3 linked regions of the Cricetulus griseus genome follow. The protein of the gene in region 3 purifies or fractionates together with the protein of the main gene of each other region. This does not show direct contact. Links are inferred from orthologs where the notes say so. Each region holds a gene or a part of one and is shown on either strand. Other genes may lie near its edges.

Region 1 (4,091 bases), about 370 Mb from region 3:
ACAATACTCCTGTTACTGCCTCCCAAATGCTGGAATTACAGGTATGCACGGTTTATCTACCTTCAAAGGTCACTTTCTTTCACTATTGTGTCTGTGTAAGATGGGAAGAAACAACATCTCTTCCTATAACTCATTCTAAATGGGATCTTGTTGGCTTTACAATGAATAATTTATTCTGAGACCTGGGGATGCCTCCTAAGACATTATTTAAAAAAATAACTTTATTTGAAACGGTTGATAGCAACCGTTTGGGCAAATTGTTTTTTGTTTTGTTTTGTTTTGTTTTGGTTTTTTGAGACAGGGTTTCTCTGTGTAGCTTTGGAGCCTATCCTGGCACTCGCTCTGAAGACCAGGCTGGCCTTGAACTCACAGAGATCTGCCTGCCTCTGCCTCCCAAGTGCTGGGATTAAAGGCATGTGCCACCAACGCCCGCCCGTCGAAAAATAGTTTTAACTATTTAACTTAATAATAAAAATAATTTTGAGTGGAGCTGAGTACTGGTGGCTCAGGCATTTAATCCCAGACCTCAGGAGGCAGAAGAAGATGGATCTGAGTTTGAGGCCAGCTGGTATACAAAGTAGTTCTAGTACAGCCAAGGCTACACAGAGAAACTGTGTCTCAAAGAACAAAATAAATTTATTTCAAACACACCAACGGATGAGATGCACTCATGCCCAAGGGTTTTGACCCTGCTTTGTATCTATCTACTTGTAAAGAAGAAAATTGGTCACATCAGGATGACCACCATTTCTGTAACCTTTTCCATTTCTCTCCGTCCTCCCTGAGTTACTTACAAAGATCCATAATGTGGTTCCTGCAGATGGCACAGTTATCAACCACAATATCCCAGGCCCAGAGGGCTACTGCATTCCACTGCAAAGACAAAGGGGGTTAACAATGCATTTTCCTAGTAATGTAACAGGATTTCAGGTTTCAGTTCAAGCTACCAACTCCCTGGCCTTAGGGGCTATCAAAGAAAGAATGTTTTTGGATTATACTATTTGTACTACATCAGAGGACAACAGCAAACCACATGTATGCTTCCTCATTCATCTGAAGATGTAAACATGGGATGCTTCAATTTTCTGTCTATAGTGTAAAATAATTTAGCTAGTCCAACCAATGTAAGCAAATTAGAAATATTTTTTAAACACCGGTTTTAGATTTAAAGAAGTACAAACTTGAATTATTGTGGAGCTTTCCCTGGCAGTTGTGGAAGGACTCAAAATCTGCAGAAGTCTCTGCTCTTCAAGCAGTTTTGGACACATAAGGAGGTGAACAGAATGGAGTAAAATGATGACAGGATCATAATGTGGATAATCGTGGGATAAGCCGGATAGCCAGTTACCTACCTAGCTTCAGTACACAGAACAAGGTCATCACTTAAATCTTAACAGATTAATTCATGGCAAAGTAGAATCCACTACAATTTTCTTTCCCTCTTATCCTGGAAACTGATGTTGTCAACTTTTATATGTCCAAACTATTAATTCTAGTAAGCAAGTCGATCTAAAAGTAGTTCAACTGGCTTCTGCAATTATACATACATATTGACAGACACCCCTTTCAAGGGCTCTTTCAAATTCAAGTCTCAGAAGTTCAGTAACTTCTACATCACTTTTTATACCACAGCATCAACTCGGGGGGTTGAAAAAAAAACGATTACTTCTATTCTTCAATATGGCTGCTGGCTGTAACTGAGCAGCAATGGCCACAATGAGATGCCAGAAAAGGGGGGTGGGGTGGAGGGTGTGCTCAGCGACACGCTCCAAAAATACATGAAAACATCTCTCCGACTACAATATCTTCATTTTTACAGATTTATGTATTCTGAGGTAGGAACTGACACCTTTCTCTCAAACTGTTGGCAAACTATGAAGGGAACAGCATGCAAAAAGACTTTCGACATTTTTGCTTTCCTGCTCCCAAATCATGAACAATTAGTATTCCACTTTCCTAAATGCCACAAGTTCTGGGCTTGCTTTTAAAACAAAGCCCACGAAGCTTTGTAACTACTGATTTTGATAGAAGGGTATCCGGACGTTACAGAACTATGGGACTGGCAAAACCTATACGTGACAAGCAGTAGACATTTCTGAAGAACCAAGTCTTATACTCGAGACTAGGGCCTTAGAGCCTAATGGAGGCCTCCATACAATCGAGGACCCACACCAGGTCTCTCCGAGTCAATAGACTCAAGGATCCAGGAAGGGGCGGGGCAAGGAGAACACCGACCGACAGGGCTCCTGAGAGCCTCCTCTGCGGTAGGGGCTCACGCTCCCGGCTTTCTCCGCACTGCCCCATCCTCCACCCGCCGCAGTCTCTCCGAGAGCCTCCATTCCACCCACCCCACCCTGTCCTTCCCCCACCTCTCAGTCAATTCAGTGACAGCTCAAGCGCTTGGCTCCCGCAACCAAGTCGACGCAGAGTATTTCAGTAAGACATCCTGCGATTGGCCCCTCAGCTACCCCAGCGAAACTTATATGGCCTCAGAGACTGGGTCACCATCATGCCCATCAATCCTAAAGCCCGCCCCCCAGCTTCCTTTTCGTGGTACCCGGTCCCAGGAACGCCCTGAAATGAAGCTCTTTCCCCCGCGCCCCGCTCGTCCTGGGGCCTGCCAGCCATATCCACACCTCTCTAGCTTCCCTGAGGAAAGTGCTGGCCAGACCCAACCTTTTTCACTTCAAAGCGCTTCTTGCCCGCGCCGCTGTTGGTGCCGCTGGGGGTATCCACATCCATCGCTGCCGCCATTTTGGAAACACACGAACACCCGGCAACTGCGCTTGCGCACCGGGTCACACGTCGCCTCCTGCTCCCCACCTCAGGCTCCTCCTCCCGCACCCCTCCCCTTATTGGCGCGCGCGGGTGGAAGGGGCGGAGCCTTCGCCACGCCCCTTAAAGGCGCAGGCGGATGTTCTTCGCCCTCCGCTGGGGAGTAGGCTTGAGGCGGGGCCCGGCGGGGCCGAACTATGTGAGACAGCCGGTGGGAATGTCCGTGAGGTTTCACGCTGCTCGCCTTCAGGGCACCCTCTTGGCCTGATTCCTTCATCTGGGGCGGTGGCTGCCCTTCTTTGCCGGGACTTGCACCTGGTCCATTCTCACAGCGCTGCCCTCCGGTGCTGCGATGGAAGGGGCTTGGGCGGGTCTGTGGAAACCCGAGACTCCACACGGGCCTTCCTCTGGTGGTGGCCAGCTTTGGGGCTACGCGGTGTGGCAGTGTCCTGGAGGCCTGCGGCCAGGTTTCCCAGAGCCCGGGCACCAGCCGAGTTCCCAATGAGTTTGGGAAATGATTTGATGGGGAGAGAAGAGGCTTGAATGTTCTGCCCCAGACCTAACAGACATTCTGCAGCTCTGCCTTCGCTTTCTCACCAGAAAGAGATGGAGAACGCTTAATTAAGAGCCTGGGAGATGCCATATTACCTCTCCTAACCAGCCAGTCCTAAATGTCGTCCCTTTCTCCCCATTTCCTATCCCAATTTGGCTGCTTGAACTACAGTTAAACTAGTTTATCTGTAGTGGCTGGACTTGAATTTGGATGAGGCATTCTGATAATCTTACCGCTCATTTCCATCGAGCTAAACAACATGCTCCCACGTTTAGTGCAGGCCTCCATGGTTCTATCTCCTAAACTAGCAGAGGCATGACTGAAATATATCACCTTGAATTTTTTATATTTTTATTAGTCCTATAATCCTAGGACTTGGGAGGTAGAAGTAGAACGCCGTGGTGTTCCAGTTCCCACAACAGGACAACAAAAGAGTTATATTTGTAATGTCACATATCCTTTTAAAAGAGATACTTATTGGAGAGTAATGGAGTGTTGTTAATGTCATTGCTGAGCAGGGCAATACTTCCAGAAACAACACCACAGCTTTAACGTGCACAAAGAAAATGTGTGACAGCCTGGCTGGGCCTGCCTGTATGTGTTTGTCCAAGTTCTGCCTCCCATGTTAAAACTGTCATTCATTTATTATGTGTTAACAAATTCCCTATGGGATGCTAGAAATCTACAGTTAATTAAGATACTGAGGACATACTTATTCATTATTCAACAAATATCTTGAGTATGTATCAGGTCTTTTAAATTT
Region 2 (3,650 bases), on a different chromosome or scaffold from region 3:
GGCAATGCTTTCCTTCCCTTCCTGTACTAAGTGGACTTGATTCAAGTTGAGGAACTGGAATGATTGATGTAGTGGTTTCTTAACTACCCTGAAGACAGCTTTTTTAATGACTGTAATATTCAGTTCCCACAGCTGAACACTGAGATTCATTCATATCGTCTCCAGCTCGAGAATTGCCTAGGAGATGCTCAAGTTCAGCTTTCTGGACTAAGCTTTCTAGGCACATAAGCTGAGTTTGGTCTGTCCTTGCTGACCTCTATCTTCAGAAGAGGCTCACCTTTCATGAGCCTGTCATTCCTTCCCCATTGTTTGTTTTGAAAACTTCTTAAAGATTTCTCTTTAGAGAGCAATGTGAACAGTTCATTAGGTTATCCATATGAGTGGTATCATTCATGCTGTGTCAGATGTAGCCACACCATTCTGAGTGGACGGTGCATAACCTCAAGGGTTTGCTGCTAGTAACACCACTTTGCTTTTCTTTCACAGAACTACTGCACAGCCAAAACATTGTACATATCTGATTCAGACAAGAGAAAACACTTCATGTTGTCTGTAAAGATGTTCTATGGCAACAGTGATGACATTGGCGTGTTCCTCAGCAAGCGGATAAAAGTCATCTCCAAACCTTCCAAAAAGAAGCAGTCATTGAAAAATGCTGACTGTATGTATGCTCAAGTTTCCTTATTTGTTCCCAGTTATCACATTACATTAATGAGACAAACTTTTTAAAACCTAAATTCATTGTTTTTGTTTTTTGGCCTTACTGTGTTTTACATTTAAGTATAAATAAGTAGTGTTGGGTGTTGGTGACGCGCACCTTTAATCCCAGCACTCAGGAGGCAGAGGCAGGTGGATCTCTGTGAGTTCGAGGCCAGCCTGGTCTCCAGAGCGAGTGCCAGGATAGGCTCCAAAGCTACACAAAGAAACCCTGTCTCGAAAAACAAAAAAAAATAGTGTCTGGCTTAATGAAGTGATTCATTCTCAGTTCGTGTTCTGAGAATCTGTTACTTCATTTCATTAGGATTACTTTAGAGTGGTTTCTTACTGTTCCAGGGAAATGGAGGGAATTTTCTCCTTTTGTCTCATTGACTGGGAGGGAAGATAAATGTTAAGCACCTGATGCTGTGGGCCAGTGATAATAAATGTCCTACAGTGCCCAAGGTAGTTCCCATTCCAAAAAAATCTATCCTTCCAGAATGGCGGAAGTACCCGTTTCCAAAAACATCATAGTATGCTCTGGAAAGCCAGGTAAGACACTAAACCAAATGTCTAAAGGTCTCTGCAGCAGGAGCTGCTGTCTCATGGCAGATTGTTAAACTACCAAGGCTGTCTGGGTACTGTCTGTGAGTTTACATTTCAGCACATTTGAAATTGGTTGACTGACTTGTATGTTTTTTGTTGTATAAACTTTTAAGTTTATGTAAAAGGAAGAAAGTAGCATCATGCAACAATCTCCCCAACCTCAGTAATTTTACTAACTCTGTTTTGTGGTGGGTCATTAACAGCACCTCTTCCCTTTCTAACTGCTGGAATATTTGTAAATCTCCAACATCCTAATCTTTCAACTAACATTTCTGTAGTACTGACTCTTAATGCATGGCTTTTTTTTTTTTTTTTTTTTTTTTTTTTAGCACCAGACCTCACAAAGTTGACAGTCTTTTAATGTCATTTAATATTCCATGAGTAGATTAGTCATAGTGACTCGGCAATCTTTTTTTATATACAGTTTGTTGTTGTTATATTTTGTTCCATTTATAGTTAGCTTGTTCAAACATAGAATTAAGTAGGCCCATAAATTTTAATCTGTGATAGTTTTTCTATTCTCTCCTTACCTCCTTTAATTACTTATTGAAGAAACTGGGTCATTTTGAATCCTATGGAATTTTTATACTCTGGATTTGATTCGTCCCTTGTTTCTTTGCCTTAGGTTTTCTATGGCCTGATGATTAAAGACTTAAAATTAGCTGGTCATTCTCACTGGCTTAGAAATCGTAGAATATCTGGTTACCCCCTCCTTTTTGCCACATTAATACTGTAATAAGTTCAGCAGTTTGTTTAATTTCCTCCTAAGGCTCCTGAGAAACCTGTAAACTAGTGGTTTAGTGGCCTTTACTTCATCGAGGTACACACAGTACTGATTTTCCAATTCTTTTATATAACTTCCACATACTTAGTCTTTATTCCTATCAGTTATTTAATATGGAAAATTCCGTACCACTGAAGCAAACAGAATTACATAATAATGGAAATCCTAACTTCAATAGTGACTTAATTTCAGGCCAGTCTTATTTCATCATAATTCATTCTTCTAGTTCAGTCTGCTTTCCTACTTATTTGTAGTTTGATATAATCTCAGACATTTGCTTCCTATAGCTACAACAGATAGAATTTCTTATTTTTTAATAGTATAATACCATGATCATAAGAAAATAGCATGCAAAGCAAGCATAAGGAGAGATGCTTCTAATGTTCTGTCAGTGTTCAAATTTTGAATGGTCTAAAATAATTGAATTTTTAACCAAGTGAGTCAAAATTGAAATTCACTGGATGTTACAATATACAGACAACATTGCCATCTACATGGGTATTCTTAATCTATGTTCCCATGCAGTTTACCTGAGGCATTAGGAATTTATGCATTCAGATTTGTTAAGTTCATTCTTTTGGTGTGGTTCAATGTATGTTCTATAAATTGGTAATGTTTAGAAGAAACAGCTGCCACAGTGAACAATGGAAAGACAGACTTCATTTAGTACTCTTTCAGGAGAAGAGACTTTAGTATAGAGTCATGTTCACTTTCAATATAACAAAGGCAAGTTCCAGTTTTCAGCCAAGGAGGAAAATGAGGGGCCTAATGGATGGAAAAAAATCAATCAATCACTCAATCAAGGACAAGGGAGTTTTTGCTAAAGCAACTTTATAGGAGTCCTGATATGACAGCCGGAGTGATTCCTGTATCAAGGGAAGGGTGTGACTGATTTGCTAAAAACCAGACTTAGAAGGTTGTGCTGGGGCCCAGGTGAAAACTGATAGAAAGGAATGCTGGGAGGAGGACCTCTGAAGTTTGTTCAGGAGGACAGTTTGTCATGGTCATATTTAAGCTTGTTCTTTCTTTGTTTTGGTAAGTCCTCATTGATGGCCATATGCTCTTGTGTACCAGGTCATATCTGGCATCTTGTCTGGTATTCAGGCAGTTTCCAGTTCAGATTTCAGAGGGCTGAGGTTTTAGTTTGGGGCGGGTATATTTTTTTAACTTCTGAATATTTTGTTAAGTTGATGTGCCTTTTACATCTAAAGTACATCTTTATTTTTAAATTTTACAAATTATAAAACAGGTATTGTTTTTCAGCCAGGCGTTGGTGGCGCACGCCTGGTCTACAGAGCAAGTGCCAGGATAGGCTCCAAAGCTACACAGAGAAAACCCTGTCTCGAAAAACAAAAAACCAAAAACAAACAGGTATTTGGGAGATTGCAGAATTCCCTAAAATCATAATGCAGTGGGACTGCCTGTAGAGACCTTTCAACATGTATTTTATAGGGTTTTAATGAAAGTACCTAGAAGCGCTCCTGTGCTCATACAGAAGTGTGTTTGTTGCTTAGTAGGACCACAGTGTATAGAGTGTTTCACCATTGGCCTTTTCATTCAGTAA
Region 3 (3,650 bases):
CCTCCCAAACAGTTTCTAGAAACACAAGTACAGGCAGCATGGGACCTGCTTTCCCAATGTGGATACTCACTGTGGGAGAACCGCTGAGTGATGGGGGTTCCAGGATAAGGGTAAGTCCTGCTCTCCCACTGAATGTTTCCTTCCTGGACAGCCTTCATGAAACCATGGTAACACTGGTGGGCTACACCTAAAGATGAAAAAACCAGAGGCATCAGCTTGGATACCTAATTTGTGGAGGGAAAAAATCATTAAAATTGTAGCTTTTAACTGTTTTATCACTTGTGTAAAGTCATAAATGTTTTGAGAAGTCCAAATTTCTCTCATTTTCATTCAAAGAAAGGAAACAGAATCAGGAAATGTCAAGATAGAAAGAACTACATTTTACCAAGGCACAGGAGGTTCAGAGATGTGCACAAGTTTACTAAATCAGCTCACACGACAACCCTTGTCCACTTTGGTTATATCATGTGGCAATAAAGATAATGGGTAGCATTACTACAAAGCAAAGGGGGTGGGAGTAACTTATCTTTGTGAAGGAATATGATAAAGCAGTGTCTATAATGTAACAGCTGCTCAAAAAGCTCTGCAGTTAGAGCATGGCAATGAGGAATTCCCCAGCTTAGGTAAGAACATAGATTATTATATAACAGATTATGAAATGTTGAGTGTGTGTCTAAAGGCTGTGTCTTAAAAATTAAGAGCTTGGGTGGGCTGGAGACATAGCTCAGTGTTTAAAAGAACACTTGGCTGCTCTTCCAGAGGACCCATGTTTACTTCCCAGCACCTACACAGAGACTCAGAACAATCTGTAACTCCAGCTCCAGTTGGTGGTGGCACACTCCTTTAATCCCAGCACTCAGGAGGTAGAGGCAGGCTGATCTCTGAGTTTGAGATCAGCCTGGTCTACAGAATGAGTGCCAGGACAGCCAGGGATACACAGAGAAACCCTAACATGAAACACCAAACATAAAATGAAATGTATTGAATATTAGTAAATAAGTGAAGTTCAGGGGAAAGCTGACACCTTTGGCCTCTGAGGAGACCTACACACCCGGCATACACTCTCACAGACACACTCATCTGTGATTCTAAAATAAAATCATGAGAGTCTGAGAGCACAAAGTACTCAGAGACACTGAGAACACAGGTACACCCAAGTGTGGGCCCAAGCTCAAGGAGTGTTGTGGCCCCATCTTTATTTTTTTGGGAAAGCATCGTCTTTCTTTTTTTCTTTTTGAGACAGAGTCTCACTGTGTAGCCCTGGCTGGCCTGGAACTCAATTTGCAGACCAAGCTCACTTTGAATTCACAGAGATCCGCCTGCCTCTGCCACCTGAGTACAGGGGGTGCTCTGGAAGAACACTATGTACTGTTAAGCCATCTCTCCAGCATACTCTTCTTTCTCTTGCCTTTATGTTTAGCATATATTAAAATGTCTCTACTATCCCCCACTTCTGCTTCATAAAAAAATTATTTAAGGGGCTGGAGAGATGGCTCAGAGGTTAAGAGCACTGGCTGCTCTTCCAGGGGTCATGAGTTCAATTCCCAGCAACCACATGGTAGCTCACAACCATCTATAATGAGATCTGGTGCCCTCTTCTGGTGTGCAGGCACACATGCAGGTAGAACACTGTATACATAATAAATAAAATCTTTAAAAAAAATGAAGGTCAAGCTCTGTCTTCTCTCTTATTCTCTGCCCTGCTCTGTTCTTCCATTTCTCTCCCTCTGGATTTCCCTCCCTATAATAAACCATGGTTAATGTAAAAAAAAAAAAAAAAAAAAAAAAAAAAAGAGGAAAGAAAGAAAGAAAAAAGAAGGTCAAGAGCACTTGAGGAAAGGCAATGGAAGTCAGCCTCAGGTTCCACATCCATGTACTCACATACCTACAGCCACACACTAACAGGTACTTACAACACACACACACACATATACAAACACAGATAAAGACAGACACACCAGGCACACAGCTGTCTGTAACTCCAGTTCTAGAGATATGATGTCCTCTTCTGACCACCATAGGCACCAGGCACAGACAATACATGCAGGCAAAACACTCATACACATGGAACTTGCTTTGTAGACCAGGCTGGCCTCAAACTCACAGATCTGTCTGCCTCTGCCTCCCAAGTGCTGGGGTTACAGGGGTGTCCCAGCACCACCCATCCAAATAAATCAATCTTTAAAAACAAAACAACCATCATTTTGAAACTACAAATTAATTAAATACTATTACTATTATACAACTGTATAGTATTATACATTAATGTTCTAGATGTTCATAAAATTAACCAAGATAAGAAAAATGTGTTAACTTATCTAATACTAATTTTTACAGCCATAATGTCTTTAAGGGAGAAAAGAAAAAAGGGAGTCTAAGAGTTCTTTTCCATGGCTTTCTGTCCAGGCTATTATTTTTTGGGGGGATGGGGAGTAGGGGTAGGGATTGTCATAGATGCCATCTATATCCCTCTTTCTCAACTGTGAGTCTGCAGTCCTTGATACCACTGCAAAGGTAGCTTCCTTGCCCTTTACAGTCAGCAGAAGCACGGATCATGAACGTCCACAAGGTTTCCAGTGACGGTAAGGACCATAGACATCCACATGGTCTCTGGCCTCAGCACGTGCCACAAACCTCAGCATGGTCTCCAGTGGCAGTACAGACCACGGATGTCAACAGAGTGATCAAAGAGAACTCTTAGAAATTGTGACAAGGGTGCTGAAGAGTAGCTCTCCATAGTTGATGGCTTCTAGCAGGGATGTGGCTGGAGAAGGACTCAGTTTTCTTTAAGGGCTGGCCACCAGGAGTTTGACCATGCTCCAGTGAGTATAAGGACAACACAAATTGGACATGTTTTTCTTTTGTTGTTTTCTTCTTCTTATTGTTGGGGAGGTCACAAAGGTAGAGGGGCAAACTTTGGAGGACTGAGAAGTAAGTATAATCAGGGTGCATGATGTGAAATTCCCAAGAAAAAAAATCAATAAAAATATTATGTTGGAAAAAAAATCACAAATTAAAAAAAAGAAAGAAAGAAAGAAAAAGAAGGCCTGGTATTGGAAGAGTAGTTAAGTGGAGAGGATCTGGGAGGAGATGCGAGAGGGGGAATCATGATCAAAATATATCATAAGTTTTCTATTAATAAAGATAAAAACAAATGAAAAGAGGGGGAATCCAAAACTAAATTACTCAATAAAATAACCATAACACAATCATGTTTATGCAGTTAGGAACTCTTGCTGCTCTTCCACAGAACTGGATTCAATCCCAGCTCCCACAGTAAGTGGCTCGCAGCCTACTGTAAATCAAGATCCAGGGATCTGATACCCTCTTCTGTCCTCATGGGTACCTGCACACATGTTAGCATATACATACACAGACAGACAGACAGACAGACAGACAGACAGACAGACACACACACACACACACACACACCTCTTTAAAACACTTGAAATAACCCGTCTTTTCCATAGTACCTTTGATAAGCCGATACCACTGTTTGCAGACCAGAGCTGCAGTTTTGTGTTCCTGATACGGTGAGAGGAAGGACAGGATATACTCCAAAACCTCTTCTGGCAGCTCAGACATGGACCTATTATGTCTTGTCTCTTCAACTTCCAGCACTGGGTGGGATTCCTCTTCTTGCTCCATTG

The links.
Region 1: the proteins of Fbxo42 (region 3) and Rbx1 purify together in Homo sapiens (affinity purification with mass spectrometry; 4 studies listed by BioGRID and IntAct, with this or other methods). This does not show direct contact. The link is inferred for Cricetulus griseus from reciprocal best matches to the Homo sapiens genes FBXO42 and RBX1.
Region 2: the proteins of Fbxo42 (region 3) and Rbpj purify together in Homo sapiens (affinity purification with mass spectrometry; 3 studies listed by BioGRID and IntAct, counting the BioPlex papers as one, with this or other methods). This does not show direct contact. The link is inferred for Cricetulus griseus from reciprocal best matches to the Homo sapiens genes FBXO42 and RBPJ.

Annotation. Positions count from the first base shown.
Region 1 is NC_048595.1:378,619,618-378,623,708, reverse strand, and holds the start of Rbx1 (E3 ubiquitin-protein ligase RBX1), read right to left. Parts: upstream 2,834-4,091; 5' UTR 2,755-2,833; coding exon 2,677-2,754; intron 874-2,676; coding exon 795-873; intron 1-794. UniProt on the Homo sapiens protein: E3 ubiquitin ligase component of multiple cullin-RING-based E3 ubiquitin-protein ligase (CRLs) complexes which mediate the ubiquitination and subsequent proteasomal degradation of target proteins, including proteins involved in cell cycle progression, signal transduction, transcription and transcription-coupled nucleotide excision repair.
Region 2 is NW_023276807.1:121,905,038-121,908,687, forward strand, and holds part of Rbpj (recombining binding protein suppressor of hairless), read left to right. Parts: intron 1-486; coding exon 487-661; intron 662-3,650. UniProt on the Homo sapiens protein: Transcriptional regulator that plays a central role in Notch signaling, a signaling pathway involved in cell-cell communication that regulates a broad spectrum of cell-fate determinations.
Region 3 is NC_048595.1:12,081,734-12,085,383, forward strand, and holds part of Fbxo42 (F-box only protein 42), read right to left. Parts: coding exon 3,474-3,650; intron 188-3,473; coding exon 71-187; intron 1-70. UniProt on the Homo sapiens protein: Substrate-recognition component of some SCF (SKP1-CUL1-F-box protein)-type E3 ubiquitin ligase complex. Specifically recognizes p53/TP53, promoting its ubiquitination and degradation.